Tamandua tetradactyla: one gene and its partner. The protein of the gene in region 1 purifies or fractionates together with the protein of each later gene. This does not show direct contact. Links are inferred from orthologs where the notes say so. Each region holds a gene or a part of one and is shown on either strand. Other genes may lie near its edges.

What was found.
Region 2: the proteins of DDX17 (region 1) and DROSHA purify together in Homo sapiens (co-immunoprecipitation; 3 studies listed by IntAct, with this or other methods). This does not show direct contact. The link is inferred for Tamandua tetradactyla from reciprocal best matches to the Homo sapiens genes DDX17 and DROSHA.

Annotation. Positions count from the first base shown.
Region 1 is NC_135333.1:30,849,966-30,857,549, forward strand, and holds the start of DDX17 (putative ATP-dependent RNA helicase DDX17), read right to left. Parts: upstream 3,017-7,584; 5' UTR 2,774-3,016; coding exon 2,724-2,773; intron 1-2,723. UniProt on the Homo sapiens protein: As an RNA helicase, unwinds RNA and alters RNA structures through ATP binding and hydrolysis.
Region 2 is NC_135335.1:81,077,084-81,084,668, reverse strand, and holds the start of DROSHA (ribonuclease 3), read left to right. Parts: upstream 1-4,572; 5' UTR 4,573-4,737; intron 4,738-5,787; exon of another isoform or gene 5,788-5,913; intron 5,914-6,777; 5' UTR 6,778-6,824; coding exon 6,825-6,844; intron 6,845-7,585. Other genes in the region: C9H5orf22 (UPF0489 protein C5orf22 homolog), read right to left, coding at 830-979, 2,896-3,041, 4,259-4,339. UniProt on the Homo sapiens protein: Ribonuclease III double-stranded (ds) RNA-specific endoribonuclease that is involved in the initial step of microRNA (miRNA) biogenesis.

The sequences.
Region 1 (7,584 bases):
CACTAGTCATCCCGAATCAACCCTCCCCTCTTTACTTGTAAAGGGTGCTGCTAGCGCAATACTATTCATGAAATAAAAAGCCAAGTCTTTAGACTGTTAGTGTCTTGAAGAAAATCACAAAAACCAAAGACCAGTTTTTAGAGATTCCATCCGTCTACTTCACATAAATTTGTGGATCCCAGAAATGCCATTTTCAGGACGATTTTCCAGCGCAAAATTATACTGAAAAGTTCCTCTTTTAAAGTTTATTCTAAGCAGCCTTTTATTTAAAAATATAAAAAACAAATCCCTTCTTCCAGTCATCCTGGCTATTTACCTAAAACGTACTATTCTACACTCAAGATTTAACTTGAATGATGAGGTTCTTAAAATATATGCTGCCTACCACGTTTGTAATTAACACTGACCTCAAACCTCAGAGCCCTCTACTTAATTCCTGAGCATACGCGATGCAAATCCCCAAGTTTTTTGCATAAAGCTGTTCATTAAATCATTTTACTGATTCAGTATTAACAGTTCAACTTGGCTTTGCAACAAATACAGCTTTGAGGATTCTGTATGGACTTGGAAAATTATGCTAGTTTAAGTGTACAATGTATATCATCTTTGGACTGTTTATGTACATACAGGGCTGGCAGCCATTTCCTTTAAAGGTAACAATCCATTTCAACTATGTAATATTCAGTTAAGAATGAAACAAATTATAAAGAAAATTTTATGGTGAAGATGGATTTAGGAGTTAAGCCTTATTTAATACGTGCCATTCTGTTTAAATGAACAACTTTTAAAGTTTTTTAAAAACTGTTATCTTATACACAAGGAATATGGGGTAAACTAAGTATGGATTAGTAATTCATTCCCCCTTCCCTTTTCAGATAACTCCTCATTCAAAACATATATAAAGTAAGCAAACATGGGGCAGGCCACGGTGGCTCAGCAGGTAAGAATGCTTGCCTGCCAAGCCCGAGGACCTGGGTTCAATTCCCAGTGCCTGCCCATGTAAAAAAAAAAAAAAAGTAAACAAACACTTAACCAAACACCTACGGTAAGAAGATCACCACCATTATTTTCATAGCCTCTCAAGTGTCTGTTTCAAGTTTACAATTACCACCATTACTACTATGTTGCATTTTATTATAAAATAGTTTGCTTTTTAGTTTTACCACACCTGTTTCAATCCCTAAATTTGTCCTTCTACCATGATCTGAATTTTAGAAAAACTCAATATGTTTGGGAGTCACCCACGCTGATTCAAGTTCATTCATTTTTGTTGCTGTACTGCATTTTATTATATGAATACCCACAATGTATCCTGACTTTCGGGTTGTTTTCAATCTTCTGCCATCATGAATAATGCTGCTATAAACATTTTTTTACATATATCCTGGGGGCACGTGTGCAAGTTTCTCTAGTCCCTAGAGTCTAGGGCATAAAGAGAGGAAATTGCTGGGCCATTTTCACGGGTATTATATATTGTGAAATTCTTTTTCCTAAAGTTGGCTGTATTGGAATTCGCTTCTCAACTTAGCTATACGAAGACAACAAAAGCAAACATTCCACATTTCTAGCCTCTATGTTTAATACTGAGACTGAGATCAAGTATTTTTCCAACAACGTAGAAGTCCAAAAAGTAAATTTTTATATTGTAAATTAAAAGTGTTAATTGAGGGTTTGTGGCTAGTAAGTGGTGCTTCTTTATCATTTATCTTACCACGAAAGACAAGTAATTATTACACCCATCATCAGATGAGAAAATGAGCTCACAAAGGTTGAGGATCCTGCCCAAGGTCACATTATATTACGAAATGGCATCACACTGCTCTTTATCCAGAGATACACTTCTATAAGTAAGCACTTTTTTTTAGCCGACATTAAGGCCTGTGATCTCTGCATGTAAGAAGAGTTCAGGTTTAATCCCGCATTAGCTTCCAACCTAGTAACCCCGGGATTCCCACATTAAAACTTTCTAGGTTGTTCGAGAAGCTAGTGCTGCAGTCTGAGAAAACAGACCGAGGAGAACAGAAGATGCCAACTTTACAATAAAAACCAGAAAAGAAAAAAACAAAACCCCCTTTCTTCGTAAACACAGCAACTTTGAGTAATTCCACTGCTTTTAGTATCTCCGTGTGCTTCCTCCGACTTGAAAAAATAAAGGCGATTTAGTATTTTTTAGTACTTTGTTTCCAGTTCCGCTAAATTATCTCCGGCGATAGAGAACACGAGAAAAGCCATTTGCGCGTTAAGATTTTCCCAAGCTTAACTCGGAGGTATCATCCTCTTCTCTCAACAAAGAGCTTATGTGTTTTACAGATGAACGCTGAGGCCTGGAGAGACCAAATGACTTGCCCTAATCGGCCTGGCACTAAAAGACAGAGAGGCTCAGGACGAATATGCGGCGGCCGGGCCTTCCCCCTCCTGCCTGCAACCCACCCGGTCCCGGCCTTTCCGCTCCCCCCGGGCTGGGCCGCGCCACGACGACCGTCCGTAAGGAGTGGCTGGAGCGTCGCCAAGCAGCCGCTCCTCCTGCCAGGTCACGAGTGACCCCAGGGCCGAGACCCAGGCCCGCACACTGAACCGGTATTATCGCCCCGGGTCTCCTCGCCTCCGGGCTCGGGAAGGATCCCCTCAAATCCCCTGTTAGGGCAGAGGTTTCCGTCTCGTCAAGTACCACCTCCCCCCAACCCCCCGCAGACGCAAGGTCTTTCTTCTCCTCCCTCCCTTACCCTCCGCGGTCACGATCCCGGTCCCGGTCCCCAAAGCCGCCTCCGCGCATGGTCCCAAATGGATAGAGATCTGGGAGCGGGGCACGGATGGCCGGGCTCGGGAGGGCCTGCGGCTCCGGCCTGGTGACGACCGATGGCGGCGGCGCCTCCGCTGTTGGGGCGGCGGCAGGCGCGGCGCTTTCTCGCTCCGACGCGCTATCTCCCGTCGCAGACGCCACCGTCGCCGCCTCTCTCGTCGGAGACGGGAGCAAAACACAGAGAATCGGGGATATAAAAACGGTGGGTAGGTTTGGCTACGCTCAAACCCGGCTTCGCCGCGGTTTAGGCGTCTCCTTCCTTCCCAGCGGCTGCACAAAATGGCGGCCGCCGCTGAGACTGCTCCAGCTCAACGCTACGTACGTCAGAGACGATACGTAAACAGCGTCTTAGAATCACCCGAGGGATCGCGGGGTAATAGGGCTATTCTTGAAAGAGGTTTACGTCGATTGCGGAGATGGACACGTTTTACGGAACACGGAAGAAAAATAAAGTACGGAGCGAGCGTAGAGTTCTCGCGCCACCTGAACTAGAACGTGGGGTGGGGGGATGGGAGGGGGACGCGCCTCTGTTGCGACGAAGCATTCTTTGAGGCGTTAGTCGGCCCACTATTGCGAAGATGCGTACTATGCGTAAAGCATTCTGTTTAAAGAATAGAGGGTTTTGTTGGATTCCAGTAGCGGCACGCAACCTGAAGGCTGCTTGTGCTAGTTGCTTTATAGATAAAATAGCTTCCATGTTGCAGTCGTCAATTTTCAGGGTCTCCAAGTGTCAAAAGCTCAAGAAGATCTTAAGGGTCCTCGGTTGGCGTTTCTGGTGCCTCTGTCGACCCCTCACCCCAGTGCTCGGCCTTGTCGAGACTGACCGCGCGCCCTGGCGCCATTTCCTTTCAGTTGCTGCTCGCTGCGCTTGTGCCGGCGGCCATGATGGATGCGCCGCGTCCCGTTCCTTACGGAGTGGGACCCGCGGTGACTTGTCGGCCGTGATAAAACGCTCTTTGTTATGTTTGATTCACACAAATGCATTTCCTGAGCAAATTTTTGCACCATCCCCGGCAGAACACAATTGTGCTAACGCAGCGGTAAAATGTGGGTGAGGCATCTCTTCAGGTTGATGCGGGGGTCCCTTGGCCGCCATTAAAGGCGGTGCTCCAAGAGACCCTTGGCATTCTCTGGTAATGAACATGTTTAAACCGGTGGTCTTAAGACACAGAAGGGGGATGGGAAGCATAAGTACAAGTTTTGAACTAGGTAGGCCATATTCTTTCCGTTTCTTCTAAGCTGACTTCCCATTCCTACTTCCTGATAGCTGGAAAATATGCTTACCCTAGCTGAGTTTAGCAATCTCCTCTTTGTACTTTAGTTCCAGAAGGACATTAACCAGACATTGGAAGTTCTTTTTACAGGAATAAAATAACAATAACATCAAGAACACCCTCTGGCCCAGTGAATCAATGACTTCCTCCTCAAAAGACAAAAGTTTGAAAAGAATCCTGAAGACCCTGAATGTAGGAGCTTGGACGTTATATATCTAAAGCTAATCTCTGAAGTTGGAATAAGATGTGCTTGAGACAAAACAGAATTAAGAAATTGCTGGTACTGTCCTCACAAAGATCCAGTGTCATCCCTGACTTGACAAGAAGAAGTTGTGGACGTAACGTGGGTTTTGATCCATTTGTCCTACCCTTTACCTTTAAAAACCCTACCTCACACCCCCACTTTGAACTGGTTTGGGGACGATTCCTCCAGTTCCTTGCAAAGTGCACATGCAATAAATCTCCTTCACGCTGAGACACTTTCTCCTTTGTAGAGCTAAGTCAGGTGGGCCCTTCTATTGGAAAGAGCCATGCTTGCAGTATCAATTCCTTTCCCCTGAAACTGCAGTAAGGTCTCGAGAATTTGGCCACATAGCATCATAGAATTGTCAAGCTGTTAAGGCCTTTTGGAGATCAACTAATTTAATATCTCTTTTTTTTTTTTCCCTATGGATGGGCTCAAAGGATGCGGCAGATATGAAGCCCCTTAGTGTGGTGGCTGAGTGGGGTCTCCTATCATGTTTTCTGAGTGCTTCCCAAATTGTTAGAAAAGTGGCATAGGGAAGAGAGTTTTGTGATAGGCCATCCCAGGTATTACTTGAGCCATAGACAGCAGTGGACACTCAACCATGTATTACTTTGGACAAGTGCTGAATGCCTACCATGGGCACTGGGGCACGGTAGGGCACACACAGAATTTGTATGCTAGTGGGGAACATAGAAGATGAATGTTTATGCGAGGTAGACTCCAACTGAAGTAAAATAAAAAGAAAGGAAAAATAAAATCAGGGAAAAGGGATATACAGTGTGGGGTGGGGTAACGTGGTTAGGTAGTGTGTCCTGGGAAAGTCTCCCTAATAAAGTGACATGTGAGCAGAGAGCTGAAGGGAGGGAGCTAGTCCTGCCAGCGTAAGAGGGAGAAGCACAGGCAAAAGTCCTGTGGTAGGGCTAGTGTAACAGGAGTAGCATGAGGAGGAGAGGTAAGAGGCAAAGCCAGATCATGAAAGGCTTGTAAAGGTCACAGTAAGAACCTTTTCTTTTCCTCTGAGTAGAAAGACATGGAAGGTTTTGAATATATCCACATGATAAAAGGACTCCTGTAACTACAAGGTGAGGAATAAATTGAGGATGGTCCAGGACAAAAGCAGGCATATTACCTAGAAGGCTACTGTAGGAATCCAGGGAAGAGATGATGGGACTTGGTACAGATTAAGAGCAATGAGTTGGGAAGAACTGGTCTGATGGTGAAGGTCAGCCAATGATTTAGGGGTGGGTAGGATGTAAAAGAAGGAAGAGTCAAGGATGAAACAAATATTAAGCCCCATCTGTGATTTAGATGATAGGGTAGGCACTCAATGGTGTTTGGAATGATTTGCGCATTTATCACATATGCTAAGTAAGCTTGAGGCTCTTTAGTCAACAAATAGTATATAAAGAAAATGCAATCTTCCCTACATTTTACCAGGGGGAGCAATTCGTATTTTGCTACTAGATCAGGTCCTTTGACTTCCTAAAGTTTATCACAATATGTAATGATATATTTTTGTCATTATTTGATTAATTCAACACCACACACACACACACACACACACACACACACACACACACACACGTATGCTAAAAGATTAAAGGAAGTCTTCCTCTGGCAGCCAAGTTTCTGATCCCAAAGTGAATCTATAGAATGCATTTCTCTTTCATGATATGAGTATCTACCAAATATGATTGAAGTTTATTATGTTGTTACTAAGCATAGAAAAAGATTTTCATTAGGTAGGTCAGAAAACCTAGAAATTTCGGTAGCAGCCAAGTCTTCTGGTATAAAGCAAAAATATTCTTTGCTTAATTCATTTTTTTTTAACTAAGAGCTGACAATTATTGAATGCTTATGCTCACTAAGTGATATGAGCTTTTATTTTATCTTCGTTATTTTATTTTATCCCCAGCTGTAAAATGAGATAGTACCTCAAAGAGATGTTGGGAGGAGCAAATGAAATAATACCAGTTATGCCTGGTACATAATAAACATTCCACAGATGTTAGCTGTCATCATCTCCCCACTTTACAGAAGAGAAAGTTGTGGCTCAGAAAGGGTCAGACAGTTAGCAAATGACATAACTGGGAAACACCACTAGGTTTTAGGTTCAACATACTTAACTATAATACATATTATTTCCTTGTGGGATCACAAGATCAATTTCATTCTCTTTTAAGTTGTCAAGTTTTTCTGCGGATGTGATTTGCCTTCCACAGATTCCACCTGCCAGCAATACAATTGCCATTTTTCTCATTTTTATCTGCTTTATTGTGATTACAGCAACAAAATTTATACTTCAGACAATTTTCAACTACTAAGAAAATTATTTTAAAGCCCATACCATGAACCAACTATTCTAAGTTTTTACTGACATTCTCTTATATAACTTTCACAGTTCTTCAACTTTATAGCCATTAGACTCACCTAAATGTGAAATATAGTGCTACTGGTTTTTGTCTAGGTAGGACCCAGGTTCTTTGATACTTGGTTCAGGAACTTTAGATAGAATACTGAAGTATTCAATAAGTGCTTTAGTTTCCTGGCTGCTAGATTAAATACCTTAAGAACAGGACATTTTTTTGCTTTCTGAGGCTAGAGACCTTGCTTCCTCCCAGGGCCTTTCCCTGACTTCTGGCTGGCCGGCAATCTTTAGAGTTCCTTGGCTTTTCCATCATGTGGCAAAGCACCTGGCAGCATCTCATCCTTTTTCTTACTGGAACTGTTAACTTCCAGCTTCTGGTAAATCCCCACAGTTGTCTCTGTGCCCAATTTCTTTTGCTTATAAGGACTTTAACCATACTGGATTAAGGCCTACTCTCATTCAATTTGTCCATCTTAACTAATAACATCTTCAAAGGTCCTGTTTAGAAATGAGTTCACACGCACTCACAGGACCAGGGGTTAGCACTTAATTATGCCTTTTGTGGGAGACATGATTCAGTCCCCAACAACTAGGTAGCCTAAAGCAGATGCCTTCAAACTGTGGTATATAAGAAACATATAGAAAAGAGTTTTCAGGAAGTCTACTTTGAGAATTTTAACTTTTGTATATATTCTTTCATAAAATTGATATAAATGAAAAATTTGTTCACAATTGTTCTCTCCCACTTTACACAAGAAAAGAATACTTCTATCCAGAATATTACTTTGGACTTTGCCACGATGGAAAAGTCTCTGAGGTGCCAAAAACAAGGAAAATTAGAAACACTGGCATTGACTTTGAAAAGGTGAATGATTCTAACTACTAGGTAGCACAG
Region 2 (7,585 bases), on another chromosome or scaffold:
CCCCAATTATTTCTTTATTTTGGTATCATATCCTAAATAAAAACAATTTTCACATATACACAACAAAGTTATATCATTTAGGATAAATTAGAAATAAAAAGTATCATTTTCAGTGGGAGAGATTATATTTTATTGTCAGTGTATTATTATTTCAACCCACTATCCTTCAGGTACCAGGAAAGTTTTAGTTGAACTACTTAAAGTATCTCATCACAACAGAATTTAGAGAGTTAAGAACATTCTGATTATATCTAAAGGTAATACAGTGCCACAAGATATATAAACACTGGCCAAACAGTTAATACTACAAAAACAGTTGCATATGAAATACGTGAGAGAATGATGAACTTTCATTTTAGTTAATTATCTAAGGCTAATCCTTTAATAAATTAAAATCCTGAATTTATTTATTCACCATTAGATTTATTAAAAAAAAAAACTAAGGGAGATAATTTTGCTTTTTCATTGCTAATAGTTAAATTCGGCAGACAGCAGTTATACCTGAGGAAACAGTAAAATGTACCACTGAATATATAATATCTATAAGGCATCTTTATATTTTAATGGAGTTAATGCATCAGTGGAGCCAGAATTTCAGAGGATTAAGATCATAGTCAAAAACTTAACTTGACCAGCAACAAAATATAAATGGTGTATAAAGGAGGTTAAGACTTGAAAACTTGTTTCTGGTGCTTTGAAAACTCTTTTTGGAGGAACTGAACTTTAATATGATCCATTTGCATATAAAGGTACTTAGAAAATTATTACAGGAATCCAAAGTAAGACAGAAATTCAATCTCTTTCTTACTCATAAAAATGAGGAAGGTACCTGATTGTTGTGGTAGAAATGTCTTTGCCTACTAAGAAGTGATGTTTGCCCTCTCTGATCTGCTGAGCCCACATGGGATGCAGCCAAACAACATGAGAAAAATGGCCAGCATAAACTGCAGGCATAATCCAGTTCTCGATACTTAATTCTCTAAAAAGGAAATAGAGGAGAAATATTAAAATAAGCAATGAGCATTTTTTCCCCCAAATATAATTTCATCCACAACAATATTTTAAGACAAGTCTCAAAGTTTGGTAAAGGACCCCTAGTGGGGGTGGAGGGAGAGGGAGAAGTATCTCTGAAACTCTTCAGGGTGTTCACTAGGTCAAAATTATTTGCAAAATAATACTAAGATATTATTTGCCTTTTCCACTGTATTATATTTGCAGGGATGGTACAAAAGCAGTGTGGATTGAGGACTTAAGATTAATCAAGGGAGTGACATCAAACTCTACTGGTGGTCACTGTATTCTTCACTACCCAGCAAAACAAACCAGTCTCAAGAAAAGGCACTTTGTGTGACTGAATTGTGAGCTGAGCACCATTTTTTCTTGAAAGGACTCACTAACAAACTACAGTTATTCAGACTTCAGTCTGAATTGTTGGATTCTACATTCCATCTAACCTTTAAGAAACCACTTGTCAAAGTTTAGTGCAGTTCAAAGAATAACATCCACAATGATCTGAAATGCCATGAAAATATCCTTTTCTTTACCAATTACATATGTGTGAGAGGCTGAATTTTCTTCATATACTTCAACTAAAACACATATGGCAACAGACTGAACGCAGAGGCAGATGTAAGAATCCAGGTATCTTCTGAAAAAGCAGCTACTAAAGAGATCTGCAAAATGCAAACAATGCTACTCTTCTCACTAAAATTTCTTTGCTTTGAAATATTAATTTCTTTTTCATAAAATAACAATTATAATACACAGTTGGCTTATTGTTATTTTGAAATGAATCAATAAATATTTTTAAAGTTTCTGATTTAATTGCAAATACAGTAAATGTTGGCAGATATAAGCCACTTTAAAAAAGCTCAATAATTTTTAATAGTGTAAAGGAGTCTTGAGACTGAAAAGTTTAAGAACCATTATTTTAAGACTATACAGTTCTGCAATGTCTGTCTCATATTTCCTCAATTTATAAAATAAAAAACCTAGAAATATAAAAGAAAGTAATGACAATGGTAGAGCCACACAATGCTTTAGAAATTAAGTGTCCAAACTGGGGTTCTGGAAAAACTTAACTGAAAGAAATAGGATAAAATTACTTCACATAAGTATCTATATTTAATTTTATAACACAGCAAAATTACTGCTTTGTAACATTTTATACTATATGAACAGGCTATACTCTAATAATTATATGTCTGAAGAGACAGTGAGAATATTTTGGAGAACTTTATTATAGAGGAGAGGCTAGTAATTATTCAAACATATATTTATTCTACCTGAAGAATGGAGCACAAAGTATCAAGTTTACTTTCAGTTGAATGATTCTATATAACCCTAAAAGTCAACAGGATTTTGACCAAAAATTAAACTAATTGGGATGTAGAAAGGACTGAATACTGGCTAGAAAGATAGGCAAATTAGAGTTGTGTTGCCTACACAATTATTGAACTGTGTGGTTTAGATAAGACATTCTTTCTGTGCCTCAGAATCCAGACTTTTAAAGGGGTAAGAAAGGGAGAACTGGTTCAGATAATTTCTAAAAAACCTCTTCTACTTCTAAAATTCTATATTCTAAATCTGGGGTTGGCAAATTTTGGTTGGGTCCCCTGTAGTTATTCATTTATATAATGTTTCTGTCTGCTTTCATACAAGGGCAGAAATAAGTAGCTGCAAGAGACTGTACGGACAGCAAGGATAAAATATTTACTCTTTGGCTTTTACCTCAAGGTTTGTTGACTCCTGTTCTAAATAAAATTAGAAAGGCAAAAAGGCAAATGAAACAAAAACAAAGCCTATGAGCTTAGTAAAGCCCATCTTCCTTAATTGCTTATCATCTACTGCAAATTGTGTTTCAAGTGCATAAAATATTATTAACAAACATATTACCCAAAGAGTGTTTCCTTGTCAAACACAGTGTCTGCTGGCATATTCACAGGAATAAGGAGGTCTGGATGTGAATCAAAATGCACAAAACTTATATTACTGGCAGGAAGATGCTTTGAACCAATGGCCCGGTATATAAAAGGCAGAACCTGTAAAAGATGCACTCAGAATTGGCACTGAAATCATAAGCACACAATCAAAGGAAGACAGAAAAACAAAACAAACTGCATATACTTTGAAGCACACCAAGTTGCTAATAAAAAAAAGTAAAAAATCTGTTTACCATAGATGATCCAGATACTATCTCAAACCTTATTTTTACCCTCAGAACTTCTAGCTTACACTTTCAAATGGGCAGCTCCAGCTACCATCCTGCCACCACTGCAAACTCAACAGGTAATGTAGGGAAACAAAGCTGAGCTCAGGTACAAACTGCGGGTTTACGTGGGCTCTGGCTTTCACTGTGTGCCCCTGGTAGCCAGGGTCTCCGTGCATTTTTCCCACACCTATGGGATGGTGGGGTTGGACTCGGGCGTAAGGCTCTTTCTCCTTTTACATTTGCTCTAGTTCTAGGTTTAATATTGAATTTGAAAGTACTGCCTAACAACCCGTGCTTCCCCCTTTTCTCAGTCCCGAAAAACCTAATTTCCTTCCTTCAGTATATCCGGAATCGTCCTTTTCCTATTTCATGTCCAGAGAACCTCCGAGGCCTATTAATGCTACGTTTTGAAAACTTCCGAGAGCTATGGGCCACCCTGATAGGTTTCCAGATGCCTACTTTTAGGTACCATTTAAATTCTAATGCAGCACTGCCTTAAAATAGATAACAGTAACAATTTAAAAAGGTTAACAACATCTTTACTATATATGTATTCTGGGCACGTGTTAAAGGATTTATGTGCACGGTATGCACACAATTTCTAAAGGCCCTATGACCGCACGATAATCGTTCCCATTTCACAGATGAGGACCATTATGTGAACAGGGCTTAGAGCAGCACACCCCCAAAATAAATGTTAGATGAGGACTCACGTTCTCAGCATTGCGCCTCCCCTTAAACAGCAGGGCTGTGTGAGTGTGCAGGTTGGGGACACCCGGTTCGGCACACAAACTATGCCCGGGTTCGAATCCGGGAGCCACCAGTTGCTGGTTAAGGGGTTTTGTGCAAACTGTAAGGATTAAACAAGCTGCCCGACGCACAGGAAGCCCATAAACGCCAGTTCCTATTTCCTCAAGTTGCAGCTTTAGTATTTTCCCCACAACAACAGAACTCTGGGAGGTAAACGCCGGTCCTCTGGCCTCCGAGGCCAAGGCTCCGCGGTCTGCCTGGCCTTCGCGCGCCAGTGCCCGGCAGTTGCCCGCTCACCTCTTGATGATCCTCCACCACCCACACCGGGAGCTCGGGGTAGCGCCGCAGACAGGCGCGCTCCCCCGCAGGGCCACTCATGCTTTCGCGGCCGTCAGCCTTCCACAGGCACCGAGACGCCGGCGAGGACACAGAAACCCGAGCTGCGGCCACCGCCACCCTCCCCGGAGGTAGCGCGCGCTCACCCGGTTGCGGTTCCGGATTGGAGGACGGAGAGGTAGGGCGCAGGCGCCGGAGGGCTCCACGGGAGTGATTGGCTGAGATGTCCGTCGCTCCTGAGGACACGCCAATCACCGCGCGCAGGCCGCTGCGGCGAGCCCAAGCGTTTTTCCCTCTCTTGTCTCAGCTTTCGCAGGGTTGCTTTTTAATTCCCTCGGTTTCCTGTTCCGGAGGCGCGGGCGGCGCCACCGCCTTGGCGGCTGCAATATAAGCTTTACTTTTCTCAGTCGGAGCCTTTGCTGCCGGAGAGCCTTTTGTAGGTAAAACGGGTTCGTTGCGGGTGTTGGGAGAGGGTATCTGTTTGAGTGTTCAGATTCAAACGGGGCTGGGGAAGAAGGGGGTTGGGGTCGGGCAGCCTCTCTTCAGACTTGCAGCTAAGGACAAAAAAGCAACCCTAGGCCCAGCTTCCACAAATAAATAGAAGCGAAAAATGAACCTTTCATTCATTTGTGGAGTGCTTGCTGTGGGCCAGGCCCGGTCTCGGAGGGGAGCGAGGCAGTGAGCCCAGCTTTCCTCGTGGGGCTCGCAGTCTGGCGGGAGATGCGAACAGGTTTTTTTTTTTTTTTACGCAGTTACGGAGCCGCGGGATGAAGGTGCCCGGCCTGCGGGCTCAGCTGGGGGAAAGAGGGGATTCTTAAAAACGCAGCAACACCTTGCAGCTCTTTTTTACATAGAGTGACGTTCTTGGGCGTATTAACTATTCACAACATCTCCCTTAATTTCCCTGCATCCAAATAGTAATCTAGGAGTAGGCTGATGCAGAGAGGAATAACTTTTCCAGTTGCATCGAATTCCTTGACTTTTGGGCTCAAGTTTCCATCTGCAGCTCAGTCTGAGTATGCCTTTAAGGTCGGTTTCATGATTAGTGTTTTCAGGTTTTGTACCTAGAAACATAATGTTGAGTGACTTCGATTGCTACCCGCGGTATAAAGTGAGGTGATGATTTTGACTTTGGCCCACCACTAGATTAAGCACACTCCTTTGTGCTCCCTTAGGCTCTGTGTGCACCTCTTTTCTTGTAAATATCTCATTATATTGTATTCTTAAAAAACTTACTTGTTTGGGTTCTGTGCTCCTTCAGCTCTGCAGGATGTGTGTCTTCCTCATCTTTGAATCCCCAAGGTTCGGGTTAGTGCTTTTGATGTACAGGCTCATCTTGTGTTGCATGAATCAGTGAAGAGGCCTGCTTTCTGTTGGGTTTGATAATGCGAATCTGTTGAGGGTATATGTGGAAGCAAAATGTGGAGCAACATAGAGACGTATATCGTTGGTGAGACAGTAAACATTTATTGACCGCCTACTGTATACAGGATGCTCTGCCTGGGGGCTGTGAAGGATACAGAGATGACTGAATCAACCCATGTCATCAAGGAGCTAAAAATCTAGTGGAGGAGTTAGACATGTGCAAACATGACTATAATATGAGGCAGTCTCTGGTAAGTGCTGTAAATGAAGTAAGTACAGGTTAAGAGCAATGCAAGTTTAGAGGGAAAGGGATTGCTTCCTAAGGGGAATCAGGAAAGGCTTCATGGAGGAGGTGGCATTGAGATAGGTGAATGGGTAGGAATTCATTGGGTGGAGATATAGGATGGGGGATTTTAGAGAAGAGGGGAATTAAAAAACCAGCTGAGTGATTGTACTTGGTATGTTAGGCACCTAGGGAAATGTAGAGAATGTTATAGAGGATAAGCCTAGAAGGAGACTTGGGTCCAGTTTGTAGAGGGCTTTAAATAAAAGCATGGAGGTTGAACTTGATTCTGTAGGTGATGAGTAAACTGTGGTGGCATGGTCAGCTGTCTAGACCCCAGGTTTATCATAAGAGTATCAGACTGAATCATACCACTAATCAGATATTATTTGGTACGTACTACTTATTAAGCATGGTGATAGACACACCTAAATAATCTGAAATTATTTTCATGAGTCATGTGAAAGTCTACATTAACCCTATCAGTTAAAAACTTTTCACTAGCCAGACTTTAGGAAGCTGTCTCTACATTAAAGCTTTTTGTACTTAATGTTTACTTGAGTTTTTTAAAAAAGCACTTCACTGAATTTCATGTATTTGGAAGGCTATTCATGTTCACAGTAGTGTTCTGTAGGAAGAGTTGAGAATGAAAATCTAAGAATAATAGTTTTGTTTGTCATGAGTTTTAATTCAGTTTCATCTGCACTTATTTTGTCGGTGTGCTAAGTGCATTGGGGAATACAAAATCAGTGTTAAGATAATTGCAGGGCATATTTTAAAATGTGTACAGTTTGGAAAACATTTTAATGTATATTTTTTATGTCCTTTAAAGCTGATATTCTCTGTGGAAGAAGATGTGATATATCCAGATAGTACATCATGATGCAAGGCAATACATGGTGAGTGGTGGGATCGTAATGGCAGAAGCTTAGGAGAATGCAGAGAGGAGCAAACACTGTGTTGGGCCATAGAAGATAGGAAGGATTCAAATGTGTGGGTAGGAGGGAGATGTGTTCATTTTTTCAGCAGTGGGCCATGATGGACTTGCAGTTCTGAGGAGCAGACAGACATTAAAGGTGGAATTATGTAATTAGCCAGTAGATTATATTATTGTGGGAACTATGAAGAAATAACATAGTGTTGTGAGATCAGGGAACCTAGAGAAGTCCTGGGGGGGCGGTGATAGTGGTTGCGGAAGGCCAGTAAGGATGTTATTATAAGCCAGACAAGAGATGACATTATGAAGTGGATGAATTCAAGAAGTGTTTAGGAAGGGGAAATGACAGGAAATTATTAACAATTAGCCAAGGGGGGAGAGGGAGGAAAAGTTGTCAAATGATTGCCTGGTGTTAAAACTTGAGGACCTGGGTGAAATACCAAAAAAGGAGCAAAGATCGTTGTCTTGAACAGGCAATTCATTACTTCCTTTTAGGATGTATTAGGTTGAATTTGAAGAATCAGACATTCAGGGAGAGAGGTTGGATTGAAAACTGGCAATGTGGGTCTGGAGCTCAGAAGTTGGTGACTAGTGATATAACTTTGGGAGTTACTCCTAAATGATGCTAATCGGAAAAACACAGGTGGGTAGGGAAGAGTGAGCAGAATGCCCAGGCTGGAGCCCTGAGGAATTCAAATGTTTG